Linked DNA regions of Stegostoma tigrinum. The protein of the gene in region 1 interacts with the protein of each later gene in a biochemical or structural test. Links are inferred from orthologs where the notes say so. Each region holds a gene or a part of one and is shown in the gene's direction. Other genes may lie near its edges.

Region 1 (7,502 bases):
AAGGGAGCAACATTCAGAATAAATACATTGAATAGTACAGTCAAGGCACTGAACTTGTTTGTTACATTTTTGATGGATTTGTGTGTTCATTGTGGCCAAGAATTGCTGGAGAATGGAACAAATATTTGAAGAGAAGGGGACATAAACTGAGGGAGCCAAACTTAAAATTAATGGACAAGCTTATATAATCAGAACCATTTTAACCTCTGTCTGGCTTAACTTCCAAGTTCTGTTTATACAAGAGACTGGATGCCTTAGCACCAGCGGCAACACATGAACAACTATGAGGCAGCTCAAAATTTGCAGTTGCTGGGAATATGTACTGTGTCAGGACAGCATTACTAGTCTGACTGGGAAGGCTGACTTCAGAACCAGAAACATTTGGCAGCCAGCAGCATTCTCCAGTAAAGTAAAATGCTGTCTGCCATAGGCTGCAATATATACATTGTTGCAGCAGTTGCACTTCCTATGCTGCAGTGAGGAAATTGCCTCAAGGTGGTTCTCTGTCTGTCGAACTACTGATGAAGTCAGCAGCTCCTTCAGCTGGAATGCTGCAAGATACATGCAGCACAAACTGCAGTGACACTAGTCACAATGTAGGTCAGCTTTTCTTATAGGCACGCTGCATGGTCCTTTCTCACCAATACCAGAATGTTGGTAAAGTATGACTTTTTGTTTTTTCTTTTTCATTGGAAATAACTAAAACATTAGGCTTTATTTATTAAGTTTTACTGTCACGTGTACTCAAGTACAGGGATGCAGGAGCACAGTGAAAGGTTTACAATGTCACCATTCATGAAGCCATCTTAGGTTTCAAGCTACCTAGGTACAAAATCTTTGAAAAAATAAAGAAATGTTAAAAGTTGAACATTGCAGTTCTTGTCAGCATAAAGCAGTAAATAAGAAATAAAGTTAAAAGTTCCAAATTACAGTCCTTCATTAATCATGAACCTGCAGTTGCTCTGTGCTGGGCTTTTCTCACAGGGGCTCAAACTCTCTCCCGTGCTGGGCTTGACCTCTTGATCCCTGCACCTCCGTGCTGCATTCTCGCTGCCAATCACCATCTAACATGTTAATATATTAAAATACTAAATAATATGCTCTTCTATATCTCAATGTTAATAAGACAAAATATCAATCTCTTGCAAGTTGCTAAGATTGATCAGTAACCTGAAAAACTTAAATAAGGACTTTTATAGATCTTTGTTTGCAATCCCTGTGCTACTCTTTAATGCAGTATACACATAAATCAAAATCAAATGCTTCATTCCAGCAGTATATGCCAAGGCACGTAGAAAGAAATAAACTTTTCTAAACATTAGACATGTTATATTAACATTGGAGAAGCTAGAATTGGTCTCCCACTCCCATTTCTGATAATATTAACTCCATGTCCATATTAGCCAATATTGTAGATAGTTATACCTTCAGGTCCTCTATTCTCTAAATCTGCTGTCATCACACCTCTCCTTGACATTACCATGAAGGAGTCTCCTCTCAACTTCTCCTCTTACTCAAGGTCGGCACAACATCGAGGCCCGAAGGGCCTGTACTGTGCTGTAATGTTCTATGTGTAGTGATCCTCAAGTTAAACCACTGCCAGTAGTCTTCCTCTAATGAGACAGCAGTCTTATGGTCTGGTAAGACTATGGTGACTTTACACAGTAATAGAAGTGTACAGCATGGAAACAGGCCCTTCAGCCCAACCTGTCCATGCTGACCAGGTTTCCTAAACCAAATTAGTCTCCTTTTACTTTGAGAGATTACACTTTGATACTTCTTCCTTTGCAACTGACCATGTTTTCTATGATCTTCTGTTTCTTTCCAAAGTTCTTAAAAAGTGTTGTGGTCTCCCAAAATTTGTTCTAAACTTTTTCACAGCTCATGTTTGAATCCTTGCAATAAGGGCTCTGCAACACAGCAGCACCTAACAGGTCTTGTGAAAATCATAAATGACATCCTACATGATTGCAATAAAGGTACGATATTCCTTCTCATCCTGTGTGCAGTCTTTTACATGATCAATCACACGAATCCTCCTCGGCTGGGATTGGGCTCTTATAGCACAGTCATAATATCCCTACTTCTGATCCAGGAGGCCGAGATTTAAAACCCATCTGCTCCAAGGGTGTGTAACAACATTTGTGCACAGATTGGTTAGAAAATATCTATCACTGCTTCTAGCTGGGTCCATTCTTATCTAACTGTAGCCACTAGCAACAGCTTCTCTTCCTCAATCTCTCAGATATCTCTGACATCTTCCACAAATCTAAACTTGTCTCCCATTTGTCTTGCATCTACCTGCTGTCATTATCTAAAATCAGCGTTGGTTTTAAAAGTAGATTCCCACTCCATCTCATTACCTACTATCTTGACTTTTCCATGACAGTTAAATTACCGGTTTATCACAGAATCCATACAGTGTGGAAACAGACCCTGGGCGCAACAAGTCCACACCGACCCAGAGAGCCTATATAGACCCATGCCCCTCTCTCACCTAATCTACACATCCCTGAACACTACGGGCAATTTAGCACAGCCAATCCATTTAGTCTGCATATCTTTGGACTGTGGAGGGAAACTGAACCCGGGTCCCTGGTGCTGTGAGGCAGCAGTGCTAACCACTGAGCTACTCCTAGCGCACAGTACTGGGCCAGCAGAAATGTTTTCCAATCAAATATTAGGAGGTTTAAACTATTGTTTTTGGTTCCAGCTCCAATTCTGTTTCCTAACTACTATTTTCACTATGACTAATTCTGTCCCTCTTGCTAACAATTTTCTGAGAATCGGGCAGTCTGTTACTTAACTTGGTGTCACGTTCAATCCTGAGATGAACTTCTGACCTCATTCCTATGATCTCTAAAACTGTTTAATTCTAATTCTGTGACAAGTTTGTCCCTACCTTAGCTGATCTGCTCCTGAAACTCTCATTCATAAGAGCATAAGAACTAGGAGCAGGATTAGGCCATCTGGCCCTTGAACCTGCTCCACTATTTAATAAGATCTTTTTGAGACTCAGCTCCACTTGCCCGCCCACTCACCATAACCCTCAATTCCTTAACTGTTCAAAAATTTATCTAGCCTTGCCTTAAAAACATTCTGTGAGGTAGATTCAACAGCTTCAATGGACAGGGAATTCCACAGATCCACAACCCTTTGGGTGAAGAAATTCCTCCTGACCTCAGTCCTACGTCTGCTTCCCTTTAGTTTGCGGCGATGCCCTCTAGTCGTAGTTTCACCTGCTAGTGGAAACAACCTCCCTGCCTCCATCTTATTTATTTCCTTCATAATATGTTTCTATAAGATCTTCCCTCATTCTCCTGAATTCCAATGAGTATAATCCCAGTCTACTCAGTCTCTCCTCATAATCCAACCCTCTCAATTCTGGAATCAACTGAGTGAATCTCCTCTGCACCTCCTCCAGTGCTAGGATATCGCTTCTCAAGTAAGGGATCCAAAACTGCACACAGTACTCCAGGTGTACATACTAGTCATACCTACTTAGTTCTCGATTCAAGTCTTCCATTGCATTCCATACTACTCCCCCAAATTCTGCCCTCTATAAAGTTGAGGACATATATAGTTTTATAATACATTTGTGGACTTAATTACATTAGATGCATTAGATACACTTAAGCTGTTGTTGTTAATGTTCTTAAAGTGGAGAAGGGGAAATCGAATAGACCTATTCATTAACATTAGCCATTTTAGAGGAGCAAGTACAGAAAAAAAAACTTCCTTAGGCAGAGAGGAAAGGACCAGAGGTGATAGAGTTCAAATAACTGGCCACTAAGCCAGAGAGAAAATGAGGATACATTTCTTCTGGTTAAAATTTGAAACACACTATTTCAAAAAAAAATTCCAAATATAAAACAATTGAACGTGAAGAAAGGACCGGGCGAATACATCACAGAAATTTAACAGCACAGGAAAGGCCGATCGGCCCATCATGCACTTGCCCCTGAAATGAACATCAGTGGCGCCTGCCAATTTTCCGGTAACCACCCGTATCTTGCGCGGGACTAATTGAGCCTGTCCTTCATAGAACCCGTACAAATATGATGCGCCCGTTGGTGTCCTTCTGAGGTGTAACACTTTACGGTTGGAACGCTGAGGAGGACCACTTCCACACGCACGGCACCCATCGACGTTGCCTGACCTTTTCTGAGATTGCCATTAGAACCTCGTCCACTCCCCACCATTTCGTGCCATGCCACAGCCACACGTATGGACGTCGCCTGACGCGATGACGTAATCGCGCGAGGGTGGTGAGTGGCAGGCGCCAGAGAGCTCGAGCTGAGCAGCAGTTCACGATCGGAACCCGCGAGAAGGGAAGGGAAAAGAGCGAGAGAAGAGTCGGGTCTTGGTGTCACTTCACCCAGCGGTATAAACTCATCAGAAAGGATCCAATACTCTGTGCAGTTATCTCTCACCTACCTGGACAGAGCTCAGCGACAGCGGGCAACTCTCTCCGGAAACATTCACACTGACAGGGATTTGCCTCTTGTCCCGTTTCTCAGTCGGTTGCAGGATGCCGTTGGCACAGTTAGCTGGTCCTTGGCCCAAAGTGGACCTGGTTCACCTAGAGACCGAGGTAAATATTTGCAACAAGTCATAACCAGACTAGAGGGAGTGTAAACTCAGCTGAGAGAGAAATGTCATTCAGAAGGAAAAGCGATACTCTTAATCCAGCTCTTGCTGTTTGGCATACAGTGAGCTGACTTGCTAAGCTCCAGCGCTTGGGGAAATTCCTCAGAAGTTGAAAGGTCCAAGGTGGGCTTCTCCGATCGCTCACACTTTCCAATGGAGGGCGGGTTAGTGTACTAAAATCATTGTCAAATGTAGCTAAATTGCTGTTTGGGGCGCCGTTGAATTTTATCGAAACAGCATCTGCAGAGGATCGAAGCGGCAGGATAACAATTCAGTTACCTTAGGCATTGCAAATGTTGGTTATGTTGCCACATTGTGGTTGCAATTATGACTATTTTTTTGGGGAAAAAATATCAGTGTTTGGCAGTTGCGTGCTTTGTGTCACCGCGTCTTCTTTGTTCAGTGATTGCGTGTGGTATCTAGCCTCCGACTTAGGATTCTGCTAACTTCAAAAATATTAATTAACGCAAAAATGAGCGCATACCTTTATATCTTTAAAAGGACGTCACATTTACGGACATTTTTTGCCAAAATTGTTTTTTATTTAGAAAATAGTGAAATGAATTATGCCGCATATTGAAGCAGCAGCTGCTGATGAAAGTGACTCGAAAAAAAAGACTATGGCCCTAATGACATTATGAACACTTTATTTAACGCATGTATGACCTTGCACCCGCAGCTACCAAATGGTTTCGTCTTCCATAATTTTCGCTTTCTAACCAAAATAATGATTTGCCACATGCTTCGTGGAGTCATCACGCAGAATGAAAACCTGAGATTGGGAGAGCGGTGAAAAGGAATTGTGTGTACAGTGGGCAAGAAAGGAACGGAGTTGCATCTAGAGCGGAACTGCTAGACAATGTACTGGAATAATTTTATTGCATCCTTCTGTACTTGAGAAGCAGGGTTTAAAAGATGAACAACGGAATATTGAAAGAAAGTAGAAAGAAACACATTGATATTGAAGCAACATTTCCCGAGGGAGGAAATTGGATCTGGGGCAGTACTATAATAAAAGCTCCTGATGGATAAAACATTACGGTTCACTTTATAAATCAAAATCGGGCTGATACGTGGCAAAATTTAGGTTTCATGGCTTGCTAATCTATTACTTCTTTCACATTTTATTGAGAAAAAAGTATTCAAAGTGATAGCAACATTTCACAGCTGAATGTGCATATTAACAACATGCGACAGAAATATAATTCTTGAAAAACAATGGTTTGTTTAAAATAGTTTAATTGAACCAGTGAGGGAAAAGATCATCTGCAATTCCATTGGAGATCTAATCCATTAAATTCTCTAGAATTTGTTACAATAAATAGTTCTTGTTTTGGTATCTATTGATCTCAGGCACTGACTATTTTGGATAAGTTCTTGACTCAAGAGTGTGAACTATCCAGTTGAAATGTTCAGGTACCAATTAAGATTGCATAACTGTATAACAATGTTCCACCTGATAAGTCTTTGATTCTCCTCAAAAACACAATCTTTGCACTCAGAGTTCTTGCACTCTAGCAACCCAACACAAGATTGCTGCAGGCCATCATCAGCAGCAGAATTGTACTCAAACACAACTGCAACCTTGTATCAGAGATAATGGGAACTGCAGATGCTGGAGAATTCCAAGATAATAAAATGTGAGGCTGGATGAACACAGCAGGCCAAGCAGCCTTGTAATTTGGGAAATCCTCCACTTTACCATTTCCATCAGGTCAGGGGATCAACCCTAGTTCAATGAAGATTGCAGGAGGACATGCAAGGAGCAGCAGCTGATGTACCTAAAAATGGGATGTCAACCTGGTGAAGCTACACAACAGGACTATTTGGAGCCAAAATGAAATAATATTCAGAGTTAAGCAATCCAACCAATGGATCTGATCTAACCTTTGCAATTCTGCCACATCCAGTCATGAGGGGCACTGGACAATTAAACACCTCACTGAAGGAGGAGCTCCAAAAAAATCCCCATTGTCAAATGATGAAGGAGCCTAGCATGTCAATACAAAAGATAATGCTGAAGCATTTGCAACAGTGCTCTGTCAAAAGTGCCAGGTACTATATCAAGGAACTGTCGAAGGCACTACACACTGCATAGGCTCTGTCAATGTTCTGGCAATCGTACTGAAGCTATAAGCTGCAGAATTTGCTGTGCACCAAGACAAATGGTTCTAGGACAGCTGCAACACTGGCATCTACCTGACAATGTGGAAAATTGCTCAGATCCATTCTGTATAAAGCAGGGCAAATCCAATTAAGTTGGTTATGTTCGCCTCATTCTTCTCTCGATTATCAGTAAAATGATGAAAAGAGTCATCATAGTGTTATCAGGTTGCACTTTCTTAGCAAGAACCTGCTGTCTACACTCAGCTTGGGTTCCACCAGGGCCACTCAGCTCCTGACTTCACAACAGCCTTTGTTTAACAAAGACATCAAAGCTGCATTTGACCAAATGTGGTATCAAGGAGCTCTAGCAAAACTAATGTCAGTGGGAATCAGGGAGAATCTCTCCACAGTTTGGAGCCATACCTGAGGCAAAGGAAGATGATCGTGATTGTTGGAGGCCAGTCATCTTTGTTCCAGGATATCTTTTTGGGAATTCCAAGGGTAATGTCAGAGGCCTAATTGTCTTCAGCTGCTTCATCGATTACATCTTCATTATAAGATCAGATGTGGGAAGCTTCCTCAGAGAATGAAGCAGCCCACATTCAAATGCAGCAGGACCTGGATAATATCCAAGTTTGAACTGACAAGTGACAAGTGAAATTCACATCAAACAAGTGCCAGGGAATGATCATATCCAGCAAGAGTGAGCTTAACTTTCAGCCCATGACATTCAATGTCATTTCCAT
Region 2 (7,751 bases), on another chromosome or scaffold:
AAATCTGTTTTGCTGTTCAATGAGATTGTGGCTCAGCTTCACTTTCCTGACTTTTCCCCATAATTCTTGATTCCCGTGTGCATTAAAAATTTGACTATCTCAACCTCGAATAGACTTAATGATCCAGCCTCAACAACTCTCTACGATAAAGAGGTTCACTACCCTCAGAGAAGAAAAAGAATCCTTATTCTCTTGGTCTTAAATGGACAAACCCTTATTCTCATCTTTTTTGTAATTTGTGCACAAGGACTGACTCCCAAATTCTTATGTGCTGTGGCCTTCATCAGTCTTTCTCCACTTAAATCATATTCAGCTCCTTCATTCTTCCTGACAAAGTGCATAAGTTGTAAGAAATTGTGGGCCCAGCACGATCTGCGGTGGCACTCCACTTATTACAGATTGCCATCCTAAAAATGCCTCTTTATCCCAACTCTCTGTCTTCTATTGGTTAGCCAATCCCCTGTCCCTGCTGATATACTGCCCCCAACACAATGGAGTCTTAATTTTGTATCAGAGATAATGGGAACTGCAGATGCTGGAGAACCCGAGATAACAAAGTGTGGGGCTGGATGAACACAGCAGGCGAAGCAGCACCTTAGGAGCACAAAAGCTGACGTTTCGGGCCGAGATCCGGGCAAATGCAAGGTGATGCATTTTGGAAGATCAAATTCAAGGGCGAACTATACAGTAAATGGAAAAGTCCCAGGGAAAATTGATGAACAGAGAGATCTGGGTGTTCAGGTCCATTGTTCCCTGAAGGTGACAACGCAGGTCAATAGGGTGGTCAAGAAGGCATACGGCATGCTTTCCTTCATTGGGCGGGGTATTGAGTACAAGAGTTGGCAGGTCATGTTGCAGTTGTATAGGACTTTGGTTCGGCCACTTTTGGAGTACTGTGTACAGTTCTGGTCGCCACATTGCCAAAAGGATGTGAATGCTTTGGAGAGGGTGCAGAGGAGGTTCACCAGGATGTTGCCTGGTATGGAGGGTGCTAGCTATGAAGAGAGGTTGAGTAGATTAGGATTATTTTCATTAGAAAGATGGAGATTGAGGGGGGATCTGATTGAGGTCTACAAAATCATGAGGGGTACAGACAGAGTGGATAGCAATACAATGCTATCCTTAACATCCCTGGATCATCATTGTTGGCTTACCCCCTTCCTAGAATCGCTCTTTCTCACTAGAATATATCTTTGTTGTGAGCCATGAACTATTTTCTTGAACGTGTTTGATGAAGAGATCAGTCCTCAAATGTTTCACAAAGAGATCAGATGCTCAAGTGTTTTATGCAGACACCAAGACTCTGTTTAATGCATCATCTCTGACAGTGCAGTACTTCCTACATTTTAGTATTGTCAACCTGCATATCGTACTTAGTTTTCTGCAGTGGCCTCGAACTCCCAACATACCGTGACAAGTCTTCCTCTGTGTATTTTGCTGGAAGGCAAGTCAATGACATGCCCAGCACCACGATCGTCATCCAAGGTAAGATGAGGAGGCTGGTCCCAAATTGCCAAAATGACATTGAAAAGAATGAATCAATAAACAAGGTGACAGGGTAGAGAAATCGATCATTCATCCCAGCTCATCACATCCTGTCTCATTGATATGCTGGGAATCAGCAGCACATCTACAGGTAAATATGAAGTGTGAAATAATGGCCTTTTCAAAATATGGATTTACCCCAAGCATTAAAATGGATAAAGGTTCGTACTGTATTATGAGGAATACAACGGGCTTTGGAAATTGAGACATGAAGTGGAGAGTATTGATTATTATAAAAGTGCGGATACCTGGAAAATGTATATATCTGCATAAAGAAGCAAAGAACTTTGAATAATACAAAGGAAGGATGTTTACTCCCTCAGCCAGTCTCTCTGAAAGAGATTGATTAAGGCTATTGACATGGCAGGGGTTTCCATTGACCAGAAACTGAACTGGACCTGTCTGATCAATATTCTGGCTACCAGAACAGATCTGAGGCTGGGAATGCTGAGATGAGTGATTCACCTTTTGTCTCCCCAGTGCCTGCGCACCATTTCCAAGACACAAGTCAAGAGTGTGCTCTTCATTTGCCTGAATGAGTGCAGCTCCACTGATGCTTCAGAAATTCATCGCCATCCAAGACAAAACAACTTTGCTGGATTGGCACTCCATCACCATCTTCAGCACTCATTCCCTTCACCACCACCATTGAATATAATCAGTGTAACATCTACAAACATCTTGCAAACCCATGACATTACCATTGAGAAGGATATTGACACTAGTTCCAAGGGAACACCACCAGCTGCAAGTTCCCACATCATCCCAACTTGGAAATATATCACTGTTCCTTTACTGTCACTTGGCTCTGTATCATGGAACTCCCTCATTCATGGCTTTGTGGGTCTACCTACAGCATATACACTGCTGCAGTTCAAGAAGACAGTTCACCTTTTGTGTCTTCTGAAGGACAATAATTGATTGGCAATAAATAGTCATGTAAAATGCAACATCCATATCCCTCAAATGAATAAAAGCATTTCTGGTGTAGGTAGTCAATCGGATTCTGAACTCTATCAATTGAACAATCTATGTGTTTTGATCTGTCAATTCCTACATTTTAAAACTTTAATATCTGCCTTAGATCCAACCTTGGCTTCACCTCTTCTGTCTGTAGTTGACCTGCAACTTCACAACCCTCTAAAATGTCATCACACCATCCTGGCTTCTTGAGCATCACAGATTTCATTCCTTGCACCATGGCTGACTGTGCTTTCAGCTGCCAGATCTTAAACTCCTGGAATTCTCTCATTAAACCCTTCTGTCTTTCACATCTCTCCCCTCATTCAAGATGCTCTTTATAACCTACCTCTTTGCCCAGGCTTTTGGCTGTTCACCCTGCAAGCTCCTTATGTTGTGATTGGAAACAGGTAGATCTTATTGACTATGAGACCTTTGATTGGGGTTGTTAACCTGGGCCAGTCAGAAAGCCCTGGCTGACAGATATAAACAGGGGATTCAGAGGCCCTCCTGATTTTACTGTGCACACATAGATGAAGGGTGACTTGGTGACTGGATACTGGTTTCTGTGCAGTTATTTCAATTTATATGGCTTAGTGTCAAACTCACTGTGATGAGGCATCTTAGAATGTTTTCCTATGGTAATGTTGCTTCATAAATAGAGTTTGTTACTGTGGCTCAGGACTGCATAACTTGGTCTTTGGTGCAGACAGGGTAAGGATGCAGGTTGAACAAGCCCAACTGGGAGGGTGTGTAGGGAACACAGCCCTGTTCAAACTGCTTTAGTTTTGTTGAGAGGCTGGTGACTCCATGTGGTTGAGGAGGGTTTGACAGACTTTTCTGTGCATATAAAATTTTAAATCATTCCATCTTTGTACTTTTTTGAAAAAATCTGTTATGTCTTTCAAGTTGCTTCTAATCAATCACTGTTTCAGTCCCAGTCTTTCTCTTGGCTTCTCTCTTTTAATGATCTGCTGTTTTCTGCTTCTGTGTTTCACTCCGTTCCTGAGTGTCATCGTGATAGAAAGACAGCAATTGACACAATCGGTCTCTCTACTGTTATCCTCTCCTGTGTTTGTGTCTGCTTCTATTTTTCACTTCCTACCTTTGTACGATTATCTCTTTGTCTGTTTTTCAGAGCATGTCTCGCTCTGATTCTAATTCACTCTAGCTTAGTCTCCATCTGTCCCTGACCTTAAACTTGAGGGGCGAATGGACTGTCGTTCTCTTTCCGTGAGAGAGACAAGTATGTATGTGAGAGTGTGTAGTGTGTAAGGTATACTGAGAATGTGCGTGGCTGCGTGCATATATGAATGTGTGTAAGAGTAAGATGAGACTATGAATGTGAGTATTTGAGTCTCTGCTTCCCTCTGTATCCCGATGTTCCTTCGACTATACCTCGCTCCTTCTTTCTCTCCATCTCTTGACTCTTGTCGTATTTGAATTTGTATCAGTCCCTATTTCTGTAGGTGTGCCTATCCCTCCCTCAAATTCCTCCTTCTGTCATTATCTCTGCCCCTTTTTGTCTCTTTGTCTCCGTTGTTTCTTTTCTCTCTCTTGTCTGCCTCTTTCACTTATCATTTTTCTAGCTTTTCTCCCTTTCCCATTGTGATCTTTCATCTTCTCTGGCAGCCTCTTGGTCTGGACTTTTCAGCTGAAATCCGGATAAATTGACGGCAGCTTTATGAATAGACACCGTCTCCTCCCAACCCCCCGAACACTCCCATATGGCGGGGGCAAATGTGGGGCTGACTGATTGTGCCTGAGCTCTGGGGCAGATTCTTGACGATGCAGGAACAGGGGGTGGGGGTTTGAAGAGGTGCCAGCTCTTCCAGACTGTTGGTGGCAATGCGTTCACACACATACAGAGAGACTCTCTTACACTCTCTCTCACACGCGTAGCATCCTCCCCTTCCCAGACCGGTGGAATAATCTGCCAAACCCATCGAGGGAATTACTACAGCTTTCCTTCCTCGGTGGCTAGACGGTGCTGTGGACCAACCTAACGCCACCATCACAATGTCAGCTCTGCAGTACCATGTCTGACTCCCTCTGGACTGTTCTGTCTAATTTTTCTATGCCGTACTTCCTTGATAACAGCATGTTCCGACGTTCCAAAAGGTAACTGAGAGGCTCCTTTGAACAAAGAAAAGGCATGTTCTGGCGTGGCTGTGACAGGGGATGTGCGAGAGAAGGTCAAACCTACCTGTGTGTGTGTGTGCGCACATACAACATATTTGCTTGTTTCAGGACGGTGGGACAGTCACTAAGTAGGGAGGGAGAGGTAGATGTCTGAAGAGGGGAAAGGGCTGTGGTTATTGCACGGATACTGAGAAGGAGGGATTAAATTCCTCCCTCCCACCCAACCTTGCTGTAAAGATGCTGGGCTGTGAAAAGCAGCAATGCATGCAGCCATCAAGCACTGAGTTCTCAGCGGTTCACCTTGGTAAGACGCAAGGTGCCAGATGTCCGTTTTTATTTGTGTGTGCCTGTGTACTTGCAAAGAATAGAGGGATTGCGAGCTTGTGGCTCTCATTGTGAAGTTAAAAAAAATTCATGCCGGGAGCTGTACCCGCTGGTGGGTGTGACACTGATTATCAGAACGGAAGAGAAGCTCAGCAAATGCTGAGATGGATTCTATTGTTCCACTTTGGCACCTTTTCGAGTGCTGGGATTCCTCTTGTGTACGACTCTACTGGTATCACACACATACACAAAATGTGCACACACGTATGTACATGTATATGCATATAATTATACACATGCAAGCACACAGACATACTTGTGCACAGTCAAGTATAGACCTACGTGTACATAGATACACACATATAGATAAAAATACCCATAATCCATACCAACATCTACAGTTGCACAGAAACGTACAAAGAAACACGGAGCAGAATTTGATGCCTTTCCCCTTAAGTTTGGAGGCACAGGGGTATTTAGTTGAGTGAAAGGGTGCTCAATTGGAACACTGCCTGCCACCTCTCCCTCGTTTATATATGGGGCAGGAAATCTCGTGGACAGCCTTTCTACCTGTTGCCACTTGAGGTCCTTAAGTGGCCAATCAATTCAGGCATGGTTGATATCAACAAGAGGCCCAAAAACAAAACCCCATGTGTTTGCTGGTGGGGTCCCAGGAAGCGTCCCTTGTTCAAAGCACTCAGTGCATGCTCAAAGGGCCCAGCCTGTGTTACATAGGCAGTTCTTGTTGTTGTATGCGCAGTCACATTTCTACACTGTGAGCGGCTGTTTGCTGAGGTTTTCTGCTGCCATTCCCTTTACAGCGTAGGGATCCACAGAGCTTGCAGACTCCAGCATAATGGAGGGCAATCACTTCCGGCTGGTCTAACAAGAAGTGGGGTTTGTAGAGAACAAAGTCATAGACTTTTTAAAAGCACTGAAAGAGGCCCTTTGGCCCATCATGTCCATACTGGTCATCCAATATTCATCTATTGTAACACCATTTTGGCCTGTAGCCTTGTAAGCTGTGGCATTTCAAGTGTTGATCTAAATACTTTTTCAATGTCTTGAGGGTTCTGCCTCTACCACCCTTTAGGCAGTGAATTCCAGATACCCACAAACCTCTGGGTGAAACACCATTTCCTCAACTCGCCTCAAACTCCCGTTCCTTAACTTAAAAGTATGTTTGCAGTTAGTGACCCCTCTAATAAGGAGAAAGGTTTCCCCCCAACTACCCTGTCTCTCTGTCTCTCAGCATTTGGTTTACCCCAGTCAGGTTCCTCCTTAGCGTTTTTCTGAAGAAGGGTCTAGGCCTGAAACGTCAGCTTTCTTGCTCCTCTGATGCTGCTTGGCCTGCTGTGTTCATCCAGCTCTACACCTTTTTATCTCTCCTTCCTGGCCTTCTCTGCTCTAAGAGCAACAACTCCAATGCTATAGCTTTTGGCATGATAACAATGCAACTGGTAGATATTGTTACTGGGACGATAAGGAGACTTCAATGATAAGTTTTACTTCTATGAGATCTCCCACAATGTGACATCATCCTATTGAGCAGTGGTTAAAGCATTCCTCAACATTGACCTTTTCAGATACCTGCATCCTTTTGCAACAGCACATGGCAGGGGAGGGCCCTCTGCTCTTGTTGATGACCCTTGCCCTTCACCCTCCTGTTATGACTTCCATCCTGCAACCCCTCCAATCCTCATTCATCTGAGGCCTGGGTTCCTCAATCATTCTAGGTCTTTCCTTGGCCTCTGACTGAGCAACAACTCTTGGGAGTGGGATACGGGATTTCTATACCAATGTAGTAATCCTGGGAAAGGCCACACTGTGCCCACTTAGATGCCCGCTTGACCTTTAATTCTGTTGGCCTTCTACGAAGGTGGTAATGTGGGGCATCCACCAAATCTGCAACTGACATATCTATAGTGTACCTACCATATGTACCAATGTCCACCGTCTACAAGGCACAAGTCAAGAGTCTGATGCAACGTGAAGTTTGATAGATGGATGCAACTCTAACAGCACTCGGGCTCAACACCATCCAGGAAAAAAAACAGCCTGTTTGATTGGCACCCCATTAACTAGCACACAGTTGCGGCGGTATGTATTATCTAGAAGGTGTGCTGTAGCAACTGACCAAGATCCTTCAACAGCACCTTCCAGATCCATGATCCCTATCGTCTAGAAGGGCAAGGGAAAACAAAGGCATGGTAATGCCACCACATGCAAGTTCCCTTCCAAGGCATGCAGAAGACAAATAAGCAGACAAATAACGATAAAGCTGCCTATCTAGACATCAATAGATGATAGACAATAAGTGCTGGAGTAGGCCATTCGGCCCTTCAAGCCAGCACCACCATTCATTATGATCATGGCTGATCACATCAACATTCACAAACATAGCGGTATGCACATATGCAGGCACACACTCTTGTAATCAGATCATTTCAGTCTTGCCTTTTTGATTTGTCATTCAGCATTTCAGAATGTGTCTAGCTGTTAAGTCATAGCAGGATAAAATATTTTTAAGAGCTCAGGTGAAAAATGAGTTCTAAAATATGTGACTTTCATGATTGTGTATGAGATTGACCATTGAGTGACCTTCATAGTGAACCTTCCCAATTACCTTTGCATCTGAGGGATGTGAAATGGGATTTTACTTCTCTACATTTCTGTTCAATCCAGAACCTTTAGTTTTTAGTGATCTTCTTTCAGTTTTCCAAGGACTGTAGGAGTAAAGGCAAACAACATTAAAAGAAACACACACCATTAAGACAAAA
Region 3 (8,121 bases), on another chromosome or scaffold:
TAAAGTTTCGGCAACCATTAACTTAGTTTGTCACTCGTAATAAGCCACACAGATTGAAATGTAATAATGAGTAAAGAACAGAGGCAATGTAATCAAGTGTTACAGAAACAGCCATGTAATTAGTTATAATAACCAGTGTTTTACAAGACATTAATTACTGCTGATGAGTAGAAAAGACTTTTTGATGTCTTAAAATATATTTTCACTTCCAGTGCCAGTCACCATCTGAAGTCTTAAACTAGATTGTTCATGAGATGTTTGGAGATGTCAAATTTGCAAATGTTTTGGTCTCTAAATGAGAAATTATGATAATGATCTCATGAAGTGTGCAGATCCTGGTAATACCGCTTTGAGGATAAAAAGCTATTTTGAAATAATAATGAACTCTTTACATTATGACATAAGAATGCTCATGTCCAGAATAGTCTTGCCTTGTTTGTTCAATCAAATGGATTTCCAGCTTTGGTGCTAATGCAGTGTGAAATGGAATGAATGAATTTGTACCATGTCTATGTAAATCCACTTTTATTATGATTCTGAAAAAGGTTTTAAACTCTGTTTAAACTGCTTTGCAAATAGTTCCAATGAAAATTGCTCCATTAAAATGTTGCCTATTAGGGGTTTCTGTGATTTTGGTCATTCTATTAAGAGTTTCAAAGTTAAAATTATGATTTTCTGGACAGTTCCCTGACACACCGTCAAGTAATGTCTACAAATCACTGAAAATAGTTTCCATAGATAAAAATATCCACCTTTTTTTGAGCAACTGTAAGTTTGAAGATCCAACATTATGCTTTAAATGGAGGAACTAATTACAGATTGCATAAAAACTTGATTACATTCAACCAATCAAATTATCTTTATTTTACTAGCTTCAATAAGTTTCTCAATCAACATCAAAGTCTCTCCCAAAAGTCTGAGCTTGATGGTCCACAGATTTTTTTTTGTTAATTTTTAGATATATAACAAATGATGCATTCGGAGCATGTATACCTTCATTTGGGGTTCACAGTTGTTTTGTGGCAATGTCCCCACCTCTTAGTCAAGAGAGCTGGCTTCAAGTTTCAACCTGCTCCAGAGGTTTGTAATAATATCACTGAACAGATTAATTAGAAAATATTGATCCCCATTTGGAATGACAGGCTGACCTAAGATCCAGCCTCAACAACATTAATTGAGAGAGCAGCCAATACCTGAGAAGCTTGCCATTTTAAAAAGGCTAATTTTAAGCCTCTTCCCTAGATTATGACACTTTAAGTTCTGCTATTTAGATTATCCCTTCATTTCTGAAATTCCCTTTATGTTCACTAGTCCTACCATGAGCCACAACTTCTCCTAATACTTAGGTGTTAATCATGACTGGGAGGGTTAAACTCTTCATTCTAAAAAGGTAATTGTGGATATGCACTTCTCACAAACGTAGGCATGAATGAATTCTTTTGGAAAGTTTAGGTTTTCCATTGAAGACATTCTCAGTAGATAATTTGCTTCTACTTACACACTGCGAATTATATTACTATGCATGGTGCAGTGGCACAATCTACGAAGCTATTCAGGGCTAAGCCAATATTATAATAGAGAATGGAGTATCATTGCTGTCAATTCCCTGACTATCCTCAGTTAATCTTTAAAAGTCAATTATCTTCTTTTACAGAAGGCTTCTAGACACCACAGGAGTCATTTTTGCTGCTATTTCTGTCCAGTTACTTATTTTTACTTTTTTTTATCTCTGCTCACAATCTACTATCCCAAATTGCTGATCACAAACAAACGCTGCTGTTCCACATACTTTCTAAAGAAATCAGTAACTATTAGCCTTATGTTTATATTGGAACTATAGTCCGATCAGTTGGCCCGAAACCTAAAATTCTAACGGGATACTTGAAAGAAAGATGTTCTATTGGTGAGGGAGTCCAGAACCAGGGGTAACAGACTAAGGATATGGGTTCAACCATTCAGGACTAAAATGTAAATAAATTTCTTCACCCAGAGAGGGATGAGCCTGTGGAAATTGCTGGCACAGAAAGCAGTTGAGGGCAGTACATTGTCTGATATCCAGGAAGAGTTACAATCATAGAATCCCTACAGTGCAGAAAGAGGCCATCCAGCCCATTGAGTCTGCACCCACCTTCTGAACACCGTCTCCCACCCCTGTAACCCATGAGTTTCCCATGGATAATCCATCTAGCCTGCACATTCCTGGACACTGTAAGGCAATTTTAGCATGCCCAATCCACCCAACTTACACATCTTTGGATTCTGGGAGGAAACCCACGCAGACACAGGGAGAATGTGCAAACTCCACACAGACAGTCACCTAAGTCTGGAATTAAACCCGAGTCCCTGGTGATGTGAGGCAGCAGTACTGTGTCATTTGGAGCTAAACGGATCAAAGGATATGGTGCGAAAGCAAGATGGGTGGTCAGCCATTACCATAATGACGGGTAGAGCAGGGTCAAAGGGCCAAATGGCCTACTCCTGCTTCTATTTTCTATGTTATGGCAAATGTGTTAATGCACAGACCACGATCAGTAGTCCCAAATCTCGAACTATATCTAATAAAACTCACAAACTACGAATTATGGAAAATAATTCCTATTTGGGATATAAATTAGGGATCACCACCCTTAATTGTGGCTATTAATAACAGCATAGACAAGATAAAGAAATAGAAACATGAAAAGATTGGTGCAAACAGGCTGAGTGGTCTTTTTCTGCATGGTAACACTTTTGTGGTTGAAGCGCATGGAGGCTACAGAAGGAACTCCTGGGGGAAATACTAGAGAACCAAGTTCGTAACACCTGAAGAGTGTATATCTGAAAGCTAGCTATCTGAAGGGTTATACCTAAAGAGTTTGTTCTTGAGTAGCGTGTTCGTGGCAGGCAACCATATCTGAAACTGTGCGTATCGGAGGAGTGTATATCTCGGAGTGCAAATACCTGACGTCTTCAAGAGCTGCAGAAATTCACCAAGAATCTTTAGACAATACCTTCCAAACCTATGGCCATGCCCACCCAGAAGGTCAATTGCAGCAGATAATCAGAACAGCACCATCTTCAAGTTTCTCTCCAAGCCACCATCCTAACTTGGAAATATTATCATCGTTCCATCAATGTTCCTGAATGATCCTGGAACTCCCTCCCCAATGATTCTGTGAGTCTATCTACACTTAATGGACCGCAGCTTCAAGAAGGCAGCACACCAGCACCTTCTCTGGGCAGGTAGGGGTGGGCAATAAATGCTGACTAACCACTGACACCTAGATCCCGTAATGATTATTTTAAAGTGTGGGCTGGATGAACGCAGCAGGCCAAGCAGCATCTTAGGAGCACAAAAGCTGATGTTTTGGGCCTAGACCCTTCATCAGAAAAGATTAGATTCCCGACAGTGTGGAAACAGGGCCTTCAGCCCAACAAGTCCACACGGCCTCTTGGAGCATCCCAACCAGACCCATCCCCCTATGACCCCCATGTTGTGGGCAATGCGGGAGACATGGTCGAGGGTGTTCTTGATCAGTGCGGGGGCGGAAGTTGCGGTCCTTGAAGAACGAGGACATCTGGGATGTGCGGGAGTGGAATGCCTCATCGTGAGAGCAGATGCAGTGGAGGCAAAGGAATTGGGAATAGGGGATGGAATTTTTGCAGGAAGGTTGGTGGGAGGAGATGTATTCTAGGCAGCTGTGGGAGTTGGTGGGCTTGAAATGGATATTGGTTTTTAGATGGTTGCCTAAGATGGAGACAGAGAGATCCAGGAAGGAGAGGGATATGTTGGAGATGGTCCAGGTGAATTTGAGGTTGGGGTGGAAGGTGTTGGTGAAGTGGATGAACTGTTCAAGCTCCTCTTGGGAGCACGAGGCGGCGCCAATACAGTCATCAATGTAACGGAGGAAGAGGTGGGGGCCACAACGATGCCACACGAAGGTTGCAGGAACAGCAACTCATATTCCGCTTGGGAACGCTGCAGCCCAATAGGATCAATGTGGATTTCACATGCTTCAAAATCTTCCCTCCCGCCAATGCATCCCAAAACCAGCCCAGCTCATCCCCGCCTTCCTAGCCTGTCCTTCCTCTTACCTATCCCCTCCTCAAGCCACACCTCCATTTCCTACCAAGAAAACAAAGTGTGGAGCTGGATGAGCACAGCAGGCTAAGCAGCATCTTAGGAGCACAAAAGCTGACAGAAAATCTGATGAAGGGTCGAGGCCCGAAACGTCAGCTTTTGTGCTCCTAAAATGCTGCTTAGCCTGCTGTGTTCATCCAGCTACACACATTGTTATCTCAGATCCTCCAGCATTTGCAGTTCCAATTATGTCCATTTCCTACCTACTAGCCTCATCCAGCCCCCTTGAACTGTCTGTCCTCCCTGTACTGACCTATCTCCTCCCTACCTCCACACCTACACTCACCTTCACTGGCTCCATCCCCGCCTCTTTGATCTGTCTGTCTCCTCTCCACCTATCTTCTCCTCTCTCCATCTTCTATCCGCCTCACCCTTTCCTTATTTATTTCAGAACCCTCTCCCCATCCCCCTCTCTGATGAAGGGTCTCAGCCCTACACGTCAGCTTTTGTGCTCCTAAAATGCTGCTTGGCCTGCTGTGTTCATCCAGCCCCACACTTTGTTATCTTGGTTTCTCCAGCATCTGCAGTTCCCATTATCTATGATTATTTTAAAACCCGTGATCTGTGTATCTGGGCTGTATATGCTCAATGAATGTGTACCGTGGACCGTGGGTACCTGTGAGGTGTAAGTCTGAGGGGTGTATGCCTGGAGAGTGTGTAATTGGCAGTGAAGAGTCGAGGGGCGGGGACTGTGTGGGGTGGATACCTGAGCTGTGTTCTGTATTATGGCTGTAGGCAAGTTACCGCATTTCAGTTTTACTTTATTTATCAAGCAATTGCTTACTTTCTGATGCTTTTCTCTCTCTTTTTGGTGAAAAGTGAGTAAGTAGTTAATTGTATGTGACGGAAATATTCGCTGGTGTGAAATCATTCCACGATAGTTTGTAAAGGTGAACTGGATAAAATAGTGAACACTGCTTTCTCTTTCAAGTTTTATATCCGCTCTCTGTTGGATGTGATCACCTTTGTCTCATTATTCCGCGCTCGGAATTATCGGAGCTACTTGTGTCCAACTTGATAGGCCGTGGCAGTTCCCAACAGAGCCGGTAATGTTCACGTGTGTTTACTGTAAACTTCACCAGAGCTCGTGGAAAGTATATTTTCTTTTGGTACCGGGTTACTGAGCTGACAAATCTGCAGTTTAAGCCGCTTTTTAAAAACAAAAGTAAACATTTAGATCAAAGTAAATTTTAAGAGGCTCAGTGGATGAGCTGTGAATTTGAATATTTCTCTCCAGTTATCAAAGTGGCTAGTTTTTTTTAAAAGACCGATTTCTGTTGTGTTTACAATAATGTAACCCCTTTTAGTACGTTCTATTTGATTTTTTTTACTGAATTTTATCATTTGTGTTGGTCCAATTTATTCATGCAAACTAACTTGTACCTTTATCCAGGTGAGTTGGTGTAGACAATGGATTGTGCACAATTCAAGCAGCTTTTGAGGTAGTAAATATTTTACGATTTCAGTGGAATGGAGGGCTGTTGGTTCGATTTATTCACAGGTTGGAAATCTCTTTCTGCATCAAAATGGTTGAATGTTTTAAGAAGCTTTGCAGTCGAGAATATTGGCATCTGTAGGATGAAAAACTGCTCTGTTGAAATCCTACTATGCACGGTGGAAAGATCAGTAGTTTCTGCACTTTGCATAGTTTCCTGTCAGTGTGCCAAAATAGATATGAAGCTTATCAAGAGGTGATTTTTTTTAATTGCAGCGTCAGGAATATGTTGCATTAGTTGGAGTGCAAAGGGTGGAATATATTGTACTGTAAGTGGTATATTCTAGATAATACAGTTGGTAAGGATCAACTTCTGTTTTTTGGTACTACACGATCAAAGCTCAGTAACACAATTTTAACCTCAGAACCTGTTTAATGTCCCTCCCTAATGGCATTATGGGTCTACCTGCACCAAATGGACATGGGCAGTCCAGCAAGGTAGCTGTTCACCACATTCTCAACACTTTGAGCCTGCTCTGCTGTTCAATAAGATCATGGCTGATCTGCTTTTAACCTCAACTCGAGATTCCTGCATATCCCCGCTAGTCCTTCACTCCCTTCATAATCAAGAATCTATCTACTTCTGATATTAAAGTATTTCAATTTTCTGCATCCACTGCCTTTCTGAGAAGGGAATTACAAAGATACTCAACCCTCTGAGAGAAAAACATTTCATCATCTCATTCCCGATAACTTGCAGTACCTTCATACTAACCTTTTGTGATACATGCACTAAGACACCCAAGTTTTTCTGCATCACCAAGCTGTGCCACATCTCAGGTAATAGGCTTCTCTTTTTCCTTCTGCCAAAATGGACAATTTCACATTTTCCCACAATATGCTCTATCTGCCAGATACTTGCCCCTCACTTAACTTATCTATAATTCTTATGTTCATTCCTCTCAAAAAACGATAGATTTCTATTAGGATTCTTAATTACTTGCTGTATCTGCATACTAAATTCATGCACTACAAAAAATAAATCCCTCTGCACCTTGGAATTTTGCAGTCATTCTTTGTTCAAGTACCAGTCTGCTTTAATTTATTCCTTCTGCTAAAATGAATGACATTTTTTTCCCACACACTCCACCTGCCAGATGTTTGTCCATTTCTTTAACCTATTTAAATCCCTTTTGTAGGCTACTTAGGTCCTCTTCGCAACTAACACAAAGGTACAGACCGATTTATAGAACAGTTAGATGTTGAGAACTTGGACAGCAAGGAGAGAGGGCAACAGTTTCATCACTTATTTGGAAGTTGCAGTTGGATGGCTTGTGTCTGATTTTGCCTAACTATAAACAAAGAATGCCATTTAAAGTCACAATTGATTTCCATGATTTACAAGCAGCCAGTTAATAAATTTCTAATAACCAGACTTTGAATTTGATAAATTTCCTGATGTGCATGACTGATTAAACTCACTTTTTTTGCTCGTGCATTATGTTATTTGTTAGTTATAGGAAGGAAGTGTGGTCGGATTTGAACTTGTTACCTCTCTGCTGTATAAATAGTAATTACATAATTAAGACTCAAGTGAGTTCATTGTTGTAGCCTATGGAATGTTAACAGTTGCTTTCTCATCTGCAAATGTGGGAAAGAAAATGAGGTGGGAGAGCAGTAGTGATAGGGGTCTGATTAGTTTGGAGACAGACATGTTTTTAAATATGACTGTAGGATGGTATGTTTCCTAGAGATAATGGGAACTGCAGATGCTGGAGAATCCGACATAACAAGGTGTAGAGCTGGATGAACACAGCAGGCCAAGCAGCATCAGAGGAGCACAAAAGCTGATGTTTCGGGCCTAGACCCTTTCCTGTCTGGTGTGAGGTCAAGGATGTCTCAGAGCAACTCAGGATATGATTCAGGGAGTTTGGGTGGGGGTGGTGTTTCATGATGGGTTCAATGTGTTGGGTAGGAGGGGGAATCCTGCAGTCAGTATTTAGGGAACTTGGTCGGAGTTTAGCAAGCAGGGCCTCAAAAGAAGAAGTAATCCCTGGATTACTCCCAGAGCCACACAAAAATGAGAATGGAAATAGAAGAATAAAGCAGATTAATGCATGGCTGGAAATATGATCTAGGAGGGTGGATTGCAGAAATTTTAAGGAAAGAAATGGAGTCTGAATCAGAGTTATACTGCATGTATGTGAATGCACAGAGTAAAGCCAATAAAATAGGGAGATGATTGCAGAGTGGTAAAGTCGTTGAAATGATGACTAGAATCCAGGGTAATGGTATAGTGACATGGGTTCGAATCCTGCGGTGCCAAAATTTGAATTTGATAAAGTCTGACCTAATGCCAACCATGTAGCCATTGTCATAACACTCTACCTGATTTACTGATGTCCTTTAGGGAAGCGAACCTGCCATCCTTGCCCAGTCCATCCTACATGATATTCCAAACTCTTAACTGCCTAATAGAGATGGGCAATAAACACTCACCTAACCTGTGAGGCCTATGTCCCATGAGCACAGGTTTAAAAAGGTGCAGCTTGCTGTTTGGAATTGT

What was found. The genes of interacting proteins can lie anywhere in the genome.
Region 2: the proteins of ribosomal protein S6 kinase 2 alpha-like (region 1) and microtubule-associated serine/threonine-protein kinase 1-like interact in a test that uses a peptide from one of them, tested with the Homo sapiens proteins (2 studies listed by BioGRID and IntAct, with this or other methods). The link is inferred for Stegostoma tigrinum from reciprocal best matches to the Homo sapiens genes RPS6KA1 and MAST1.
Region 3: the proteins of ribosomal protein S6 kinase 2 alpha-like (region 1) and lnx1 interact in a test that uses a peptide from one of them, tested with the Homo sapiens proteins (2 studies listed by BioGRID and IntAct). The link is inferred for Stegostoma tigrinum from reciprocal best matches to the Homo sapiens genes RPS6KA1 and LNX1.

What each region holds. Positions count from the first base shown.
Region 1 is NC_081377.1:32,187,452-32,194,953, reverse strand, and holds the start of ribosomal protein S6 kinase 2 alpha-like, read left to right. Parts: upstream 1-4,284; 5' UTR 4,285-4,531; coding exon 4,532-4,594; intron 4,595-7,502. UniProt on the Homo sapiens protein: Serine/threonine-protein kinase that acts downstream of ERK (MAPK1/ERK2 and MAPK3/ERK1) signaling and mediates mitogenic and stress-induced activation of the transcription factors CREB1, ETV1/ER81 and NR4A1/NUR77, regulates translation through RPS6 and EIF4B phosphorylation, and mediates cellular proliferation, survival, and differentiation by modulating mTOR signaling and repressing pro-apoptotic function of BAD and DAPK1.
Region 2 is NC_081388.1:17,541,739-17,549,489, forward strand, and holds the start of microtubule-associated serine/threonine-protein kinase 1-like, read left to right. Parts: upstream 1-4,483; 5' UTR 4,484-4,543; coding exon 4,544-4,626; intron 4,627-7,751. UniProt on the Homo sapiens protein: Microtubule-associated protein essential for correct brain development. Appears to link the dystrophin/utrophin network with microtubule filaments via the syntrophins. Phosphorylation of DMD or UTRN may modulate their affinities for associated proteins.
Region 3 is NC_081354.1:107,522,524-107,530,644, reverse strand, and holds the start of lnx1 (E3 ubiquitin-protein ligase LNX), read left to right. Parts: upstream 1-4,853; 5' UTR 4,854-4,938; intron 4,939-5,051; exon of another isoform or gene 5,052-5,166; intron 5,167-8,121.